2 linked regions of the Arabidopsis thaliana genome follow. The protein of the gene in region 1 interacts with the protein of each later gene in a pairwise test. Each region holds a gene or a part of one and is shown on either strand. Other genes may lie near its edges.

Evidence for each region.
Region 2: the proteins of MYB78 (region 1) and AT3G03270 interact in a two-hybrid assay, tested with the Arabidopsis thaliana proteins (one large-scale study listed by BioGRID).

The regions. Positions count from the first base shown.
Region 1 is NC_003076.8:20,136,672-20,141,490, reverse strand, and holds MYB78 (myb domain protein 78), read left to right. Parts: upstream 1-1,961; 5' UTR 1,962-2,106; coding exon 2,107-2,281; intron 2,282-3,042; coding exon 3,043-3,172; intron 3,173-3,339; coding exon 3,340-4,000; 3' UTR 4,001-4,095; downstream 4,096-4,819.
Region 2 is NC_003074.8:760,382-764,850, reverse strand, and holds AT3G03270 (Adenine nucleotide alpha hydrolases-like superfamily protein), read left to right. Parts: upstream 1-1,735; 5' UTR 1,736-1,775; coding exon 1,776-1,950; intron 1,951-2,057; coding exon 2,058-2,167; intron 2,168-2,294; coding exon 2,295-2,413; intron 2,414-2,639; coding exon of another isoform or gene 2,640-2,715; exon of another isoform or gene 2,716-3,266; coding exon 3,267-3,468; 3' UTR 3,469-3,717; downstream 3,718-4,469. Other genes in the region: AT3G03272 (prolamin-like protein (DUF1278)), read left to right, coding at 656-1,018.

The sequences.
Region 1 (4,819 bases):
TTCTCTACTTATGATGAAAACCAAAACCACTTCCTTGTGAATTGTGATTACTACAAGTTGATTAGACGATCCATGCAGACCCGACTCAGCCTCACAACCAATATGTTCTATATTTGAGACTCTCTTATTGTCTGAACAAATCTAGGTACACATATTCACCGCCCATCCTGCAAAAGCTAGTGGCTCAAGCCACTGTATATCACATATGGAAGGAAATGAGCAATATAATTCATTAGCAACAAGCAACTCCTGCTACAATAATCTTAATTAAAGACCATTGATATGTAGGCATATTCCATAATACAATTATCGCCAAAAAAGGACATGGAAGAAATTCATTAACCTAATGTGAATAACTAGGGTTGCTTCTTCGTCAAAAGATCCATGTGACCATTGTATTTTTTTTTCCATGTTTGGCAAAACACAAATATAGAAGGTTGACATTATGTAAAACCAAAACACTTCATTTTCTAATGATATTTACATTCATATCATATTATATAAGTAAACGTTGAATTTGTCCCTCAGTATTTGAATGCACCTAGCTAGGTTGGCTAAATGAATTTGAATTTTATGGTCAAACCAATGAACATAGGGGGAACTGGAGAAGTATAAGACGTATATGAACATACAGTATAGTATTTGCAACTTGTTTGAAACTGGAAAAAAGTATAATTAAGTTATTACGACAACTTATAAACATAATTAAGAAACAGAATTACACGCATGAAAAGTCGTAAAATGTCAACCTTCAAAGCTATAGTGCTGAATTAAGTGCTAACTAAGTATACTAATCAACCCTAAAAATTAATTAAGTCCTACCACGATCCTATAATTAATGTTCAATTTGCGGCATTTGGAACTTTATTCATTAGGATAACGCGTTGCATGACATAAAGAGTCAAATGAGATATTTTATTACTCATAGTTTAGTTATTTTCAGTGTATAGATTCGATTAATATCTTAATTAAGAGAGTAAATTGACAAAATCATAAAAATACAGTCTTCATCCTTGGATTTTGGCAGTACTTGTACTGGATCTTTAACGGAGAAATATTTAACGATAAATATTTCTTAGAATTTAAGAAGTGAAACGGATAATTTGGTTTATTTAAGAATAATGAATTGTGCAACGATGGGTGTATTTAGGAATAATGAATGTGTGCAACGATTGGTGTATTTAGGAATAATGATGCTGGTCATGTCTAGGGATTTGGGGTCTAACTAAAGCGAATGTAAATATGAGAAATTTTACATCTAAACAATATAATATGTATTGTAAATTTGTAATAAAATATTTTGTAAAATAACAAACATGATGTTTTTTTATCAATGAAATTGAATTTCGAAAACAAATTGCACTTGATTTTTTTACCAATACATAAAATCTAATTTAAAAATTCGGTGGCTCCAAAATTTGCATAATATTATGAATCCTAAGACTGTTTTTTCGATCAGTAGACATGGTCTAGTGACTAGAATGGATGTTAAACAACCGCACTCGGACTAATCTATGTTCATATCTATGCAAAATGTGGTTTCATTTCCGCCTTGGAAAATGAATAATTTTGACATAAACGGTGTCAGTTTAAAACACAAGCACGAGAACTAGTTCGATTATTAAATTGAGGAAACTGTTTTGTTCCGGTATTTTGTTCATATTTCCTGAAACCAATCCATATTTATAAGATATCTCTTTTTATCAACAATATACTTATGCGGATTTAAACACGGATAGTAATATTATGATGATGTTCTCCTCTCATAAAGATAGTTGATAATTACAAATATATTAGGAGATGCTCTATGTTTTAAAGTTTTTAAGTTATTGGGAAAAATTAACAATTCTAATATTGCGGCCGTTTATGCCTTTGTCCCACATGTTACAAATAAATCTTAAAAAAGAATTATCATCTATTTTGTTCATCTATAAAACCATCAACTTCTCCATCTTTTCCTGTGGATACAAACAACATCATCCATTATCTCTCTAAACATAACTCCAAAAAGTGACTCTTTTCATTTCAGAACTCACTCAAAGACAAGTACAAAGCTAAGTCTTGATTTTTTTCTTTGAATATCTCTTTGTGGGTCACTCTTCATCAATGGGTGACAAAGGAAGGAGCTTAAAGATCAACAAGAACATGGAGGAATTCACGAAAGTGGAAGAAGAAATGGACGTAAGGAGAGGTCCATGGACAGTTGAGGAAGATTTAGAGCTCATCAATTACATTGCTAGTCATGGTGAAGGTCGATGGAACTCTCTCGCTCGTTGCGCCGGTATGATACTCTAACATCTACTTACACATATACACACTTAGATTAATATAGGCATAGACGGTGTGTATAAATGTGCTCCTTGATTGAAAACAAATAAAAATAAGTAACAAACCATATATTATACACAAGTTGTTTCGATCTCCATATGTGTCTTTTTTAATTTACTCAGTGCGCCACTTTTTCTGTTAATCATATCTTTTTGTTTCGAAAGTTCTTTTTTTTTTTTTGGATAAAAGTTTGTTGTGAAAGTTCAAGAAATGGATTTTGCCTTGTATGCACACAAAAAAAAAAGGAAAAAACAAATCATGGGGATAAAACAAAAAGAGTGTCATGCTTTTGTGTTCCGTTCTCTCATTATTTTTCTTCTTTCTGAATTGTTAAAATTATCTATGATCATTCCTAATGAAATCGTGTTTTGCTATTCGGACTCAATTATTATAACTTTTAGGAAATGGATTCAATTATTTAACCCTCTAGGTTTTGAATAGAGTAACTCTATTCGTGTTGAAATAAATGAAATAATTGATCAACATCTATATGGGAAGAGCACTAACGCAATGGAAGAAAGTTTTCAGGAGACAAAGACCCTTTTTGAGAGTTTGCCTCATAGCAACGGTCCCTATAATTTCTAGAGTAAATTTGATAACTTTACCAAATATATATGATCATTATCATGAGTTTCTTGCGTATGAAATCATCATACAATATACGTGTACACGATGATGTCTAATTAAATAATAGTAACTTCCAATATAAAACAGAACTCAAAAGGACCGGAAAAAGCTGCAGACTTCGGTGGCTGAACTATCTCCGACCAGATGTGCGCCGTGGAAACATAACCCTCGAAGAACAACTCTTGATTCTTGAACTTCACACACGTTGGGGCAATAGGTACGTTTTTTAATTACGGTCATTTATACACTTTATTTTCTACTAACAAGATTTTGATCACAAAGATGGCTAAATATTATTGTACACGAATTAGTTCACATCTTTAGTCATCAATACATTTTATTTTCTGTTAACAAGAGTTTGAAAGATTGGTTTATTTGTACTAGTAATGAATTTGATCACAAGTTTTCTTCTTCTTGTGAGGACAGATGGTCTAAGATTGCACAATATTTACCAGGAAGAACGGATAACGAGATCAAAAACTATTGGAGAACACGTGTTCAAAAGCATGCAAAACAGCTTAAATGCGACGTGAACAGTCAACAATTTAAAGACACCATGAAGTATCTTTGGATGCCTCGGCTCGTAGAAAGGATCCAAGCCGCGTCCATCGGGTCTGTTTCCATGTCATCTTGCGTCACCACCTCCTCAGATCAGTTCGTGATCAACAACAACAACACCAACAACGTGGATAATTTGGCTTTAATGAGTAACCCTAATGGTTACATCACGCCGGATAATTCCAGCGTGGCAGTATCTCCTGTATCAGATTTGACGGAGTGTCAAGTGAGTAGTGAAGTGTGGAAGATTGGTCAGGATGAGAATTTGGTGGATCCAAAAATGACATCGCCGAATTATATGGATAATAGCAGTGGACTATTAAACGGAGATTTTACGAAGATGCAAGATCAAAGTGACCTTAATTGGTTTGAAAATATTAATGGGATGGTACCAAATTATTCGGACAGTTTTTGGAACATTGGAAATGATGAAGACTTCTGGCTCTTACAACAACATCAACAAGTCCACGACAATGGAAGCTTCTGAATAGACAAGAAGCTATTTTACAAAGTAAAGGGAAAATACAAAGCTTCTGAATTTAAAAGTGTGAAAGGAATTTGTTATAAACAAAGCTTTTTATTTGAAAAAAAAAAGAAGAAGAAGGTTTTGTTAAAATATTAGCAGCTTTAGACATATTGGAGAGTTTAGGAAATAGTTATTTTTGTAGTAAATTTGATTGCTATTTTGGGATTGTGATACTATATTAATGCTGATAATTTCTAAATTCAGAATCAAATTAATAACAAATCATTTTTTTGGGGAGGATAATTTATTTGAAAGACGATTACACACTAATTAAAAGTGATTTTCTTCATGGAATCATGCTATATAAACAACACTCTATTTATTATAAATGAATTTTCCAAAGCAACCATAATTGGTTCCACGACCAAGTTTCATACTATAATTAATTAAAACTGTATATGTCACACAAGCAGACAAAACATAACATATTAAAAATTTTATCTAATGACTTTAGCATGATAAAATAAGAAGAAGAAAATGGATAATCCGATTCATGATGCTTTTAGGAAACATGTCTATGGGACCTGTATATGGGAAAAAGGGGACCGAAGTGTGTGAAAGGCTTTGGGTTCAAAAGTAGACAATCCAAAACTTTATCATTTCTATAATTTTATCACCACGTAGAGACATCTCAGTGGTTAATGTTTGAGCTTTAAGATGGCCATTAAGGAGATTATTCTTGGAAGAATGTAATAATTATGAACTTAGTTATTAAAATATATACTTAGTGATGATTATTTTTCCACCATTAACGCGTGCAAATCCTTAATATTTAATTGA
Region 2 (4,469 bases), on another chromosome or scaffold:
AACCAAAATCAAATATTATTTATATAGTATTCGCTTACTCTTCCAGTTGTTATCGCAAAATTTAAATCACGTGTGGGATCCACGGTCACTTCTTAAGACACCTGTGTTTTCGGTTTATTGAGTTCAATGACGCGACGGTTCCGTTGTCTATGGGATCGGACTGTTCTTGTTGCTTCAAGGCCTAACCTTTTCTTTCAGCTAATGTATTTCAAATTTGATTCCTAAATTCAAATTTGAATGTAAACGGGATACTTGTGCTTCTTCTACTCTAAAGCCATCATAGCTTTTTCATAAATGAGGACAAATTTACCCAAAACACCTCCTGTTACAAATTCGTATAAGTTTGATACTATAATTTTTTGTAAACAACTCGTAAGTCGTATATAAACCATTTAAACTTCGCTTGAAAAATCAGAGTAAGCTAGTCCAATTTAAACGATATTTAAGCACTAGAATCATAACGGAAAGATCTTTTTATATTGTTAGTGTAACTAAAAGATCTTCTTCTAGCGAAAATTATTATTTCCTTTTTATTTCTTGTATATTTACAAAACTCTGAAACCCGTTAGAGGCTTCACCAAGATTCAAGCATCAAAGCCACTATATATATATCACTCACACTTGTTAATTAATTATCAGTATTTGTTTCTTCATCATGATGAAACCATTTTCTCTAGTACTCGTTCTTGTCCTCTCATCATCTTTAGCAAGTGCAACCGCATCCTCCTTATTCTCGCCTCCACTTCCATTTTCGCTCTCTTCCATCTTCGGTGGGATTATCGGTAACAGTGATAATAGCGAGTTAGCTAGGATGTGTTTTCCAGACCTAGGAGACGGAGAAGCCTGCGTGGCGGAAATCTTCGGTTCATTCTTTAGTCCTCAAATTACGATAGGACCAGAATGTTGCAAGGCCATTGTTGAGATCGACGAAGACTGTGCTCAAGCCATTTTTAAACCACTCAGCAATTCTTTCTTTAGTAGTTCTGTCAAGCAGTATTGCACTTACATCAATAGTTGATTGAATTTTCTTTAGGTTTACTTTAGTGCTTGTTTTGTTTAATGTCTTTTATTTGTTTCTTGTTTTCTATGTTTTATCAACACTCAACAGTAACTTCATTTTAATAAGTTTAAACAAAATTTTGAATTGGAATAATATTTCACCGAAGGTGTTGGTACGTGTTCCATCAATCAATGAATAAAAAAAAATAAGCCAATAAAGGAAGAAAAGTTGAAGAATCAAATTCGCCTTTGCTGAAAGTTGACAAAGAATATTACTTTTCTTGGAGAGCAAGTGAGATAAAGAGAATTCACTAATACTCTACGTGTGCAAATACATATCTTGAATCTTCTATGGCTTTCATCAGTACACAATTTAAGATTTCGACTAAAAGAAAACCAAAATGTATTCGCTCACATCACTTTAAAATCATGTTTTCAATATCAAGTATATTAAATAATTCTTTTCAAACTATATGAGGTTACTGAAATGTTATGCACACAAAAGAAATAAAAAGACAAAACTATTCAAAAGAAATGACTAGTCATTAATACTCTCAGTAACAAAGAATTTTAAGAAAAGAAGCGAGAGAGAGAGACCTAGTAGTTTCAAGAATCTCCCCATAGAAGAAAAAGACAATCATTAAATATCTCGAATTCTGTGTGCGCCAATAATATTCTCCAAAGTCTAAACCATCAAACCGGTTATTATATACATATAAATTAGACTACCGTAATCAATTTCTACTTAGAGATCATCGAGAGGGCAAGAGAGAAAAATGGGAAAGGCACGTACGGTGGGAGTGGGAATGGACTATTCTCCGACGAGCAAATTAGCTCTCCGGTGGGCGGCGGAGAATCTCCTTGAAGACGGCGACACCGTCATCTTGATTCACGTCCAACCACAAAACGCCGATCATACCCGCAAAATCCTCTTCGAGGAAACCGGTTCACGTATTTAACTTACTACATCTCTTTAATATATATTAGTAGAGTTAACTCCATATTATGATCAAAATTTGTATTTTGATCATTTAAAAGTTACAAACTAATTATTGCAGCGCTAATTCCTTTGGAGGAATTTAGAGAGGTTAATTTGTCTAAACAGTATGGACTTGCTTACGATCCTGAGGTTCTTGATGTTCTTGATACTCTCTCTAGGGCTAAAAAGGTAAATGTTCACTTTCGTAATTCGTAATCTTACACAAGTTAACAACTATTGCTTTAATATCATTTTGATTTTCTTTCAAATAATGATGTTTAATTCATTGTAATATAAACTTTAAACAAAATTATAGGTGAAGGTTGTAGCAAAGGTGTATTGGGGAGATCCAAGGGAGAAACTTTGTGATGCTGTCGAAAATCTAAAACTCGATTCCATTGTTCTTGGCAGTCGAGGTTTGGGTTCTCTCAAAAGGTAAATTCTTATGCTTACTTACTATATATAGTCTAGTTTCGTTGGTTAAAAAATTTCGAATTTCAGTAAATTTAGGCAATATAGCTTCAAATAATTGAAACTGATTTGGCTTTTCTCAAATTAATTTTAGTATCACTTATTTCGTTATTCTGTGGTTAATCAAAAGGAGAATTGGAGTGATAATTAATAATTACGTTATCTGTGGGGTTTTTTGTTGTTGTTGTAGGATCTTGCTGGGTAGTGTGAGCAATCATGTGGTGACAAATGCAACATGTCCTGTCACAGTTGTTAAGGCTAATTAAAGTGTCTCTTGTTCTTTAATTGGACCCAGTTAATAACATTAGTAGTTACGTGTGTCACTCATGCATTGTTTTGACATTTATACGTTTGTTGCCTTCTACAAATTTGTGTGAAACTGATTGGTACTGTTTCATTAATAAATTTCAGTTAAATGATATTTACTCTCTTTTTGTTTGTGATTTGTGAACGTTACGTAAAAATCACAAAAAAAAATAATTAGTTTTTCTAATTCATTCATGAAAAATCTTCGTGGACTAAACAAAAAAGATGTGAAAAAACAATCCCCATGTTTGATCCAGATTAATTCGATCCGTTAATCAAAAGATGGTCTTAATGAGCATAATTCGGGGATAAAGTCGAATATAGAAATAGTTGTTGAAAAGAGAAATGTTTGGATTGAATCTTGTCAGCTTGATGTGTGGTTGATCACATGACCAATCTATGTATGGAATATGGATGTCGTGTGTGCTGATTCATTCAGATATGACAAGTGGTGGATGGGATAATTCACGATATGGGCCAGATTATGAGTTTGTTTTAACTTGAATGGCAGGCCGAATCATAATGGATTCATGATCATTATGTTTGATCATAGCCTAGTTGGACTTGTATCCCTAGATCATGATCAAAGTGGGCTTATAAACATGGCCGAGATGGGTAGTTCTAAATCAATTTGTTGGATCAGAAGAAATCAAGAAAGAGACAGTCGTTGGAGCTTTTCTGATCTGCTTTTGGATGATCACCCATTAGATTGAAAATTAAATTTTTCATTCTCCGCTCGATGGCTGATTTGTAAACTTGTTCCTTCATGATAGAAATTTATGGGCTAAATACAGAAAGTGAACGTTAGAATTTGGTTTTGGGTAGAAGAACAACTATCATATGATTAAAGATTAATCAGATGATCTAAAGATAGTTTTGGTGAGTACAGTTCGGAAATATAGCCGTTGATGCATGATGTGTGACTTTCAAAAATAGAAATAGCCGTTGGATTTAAATTTAAGGTCAATGAACAACTGTCAGATATGCTTAAAATTAATCTAATGATCCAAGAATGGTTTTGGTCAATACTTCGAGTATATATAGTTGCTGGTACGTGATATGTGACCTTGCTTCAAATATAAAACGAGCCGTTGAATTTTAAATTTGGGTGGATGAACAACGTACTGTCAGGTATGATGATTAAGATTAATTCAATGATCCAAAATCCAAATATTGTTTCGGTAGACGGTGGTACTTAATTAGTGAGACTTTCAAATATTAAAAAGAGATGTTGAATTTAAATTTTAGTTTGCTCAAAAGAAAAAGTTTCTAGTAAAAACAAAACAAATTATGTTTAATTAAGGTATGTAATATGGTTATGCATAAGACTAGTGTTGATGAGATGATTCACGATGTCGTATGGATTGGATTATGAGTATTCTTAAACTCGAATGGGTTGCCAAATCATAATGGCCTCATTAATTTATTGTACTAAACTGAATTATAATATATGTTCTTGAGCGAAAAAAATCCATAATTTATAATTTCCTATCTAGCTATATTGGATTGATCCGGCTGTTGACAATCTGGTCCTGATTTGAATCGGTTTCTCGAATCATGCACCGTAATCGTAGTCTAGCCATTTAGGATTGTATCACTAACAGTAGTGTCACTTTAAAATGTTGGAGATTTAGACTATGAATAGTAATATAAACCGCACCCAAAACCGCACTGCAACAGGTAACAGTATCAAAATCTCTCTCTATATATATGT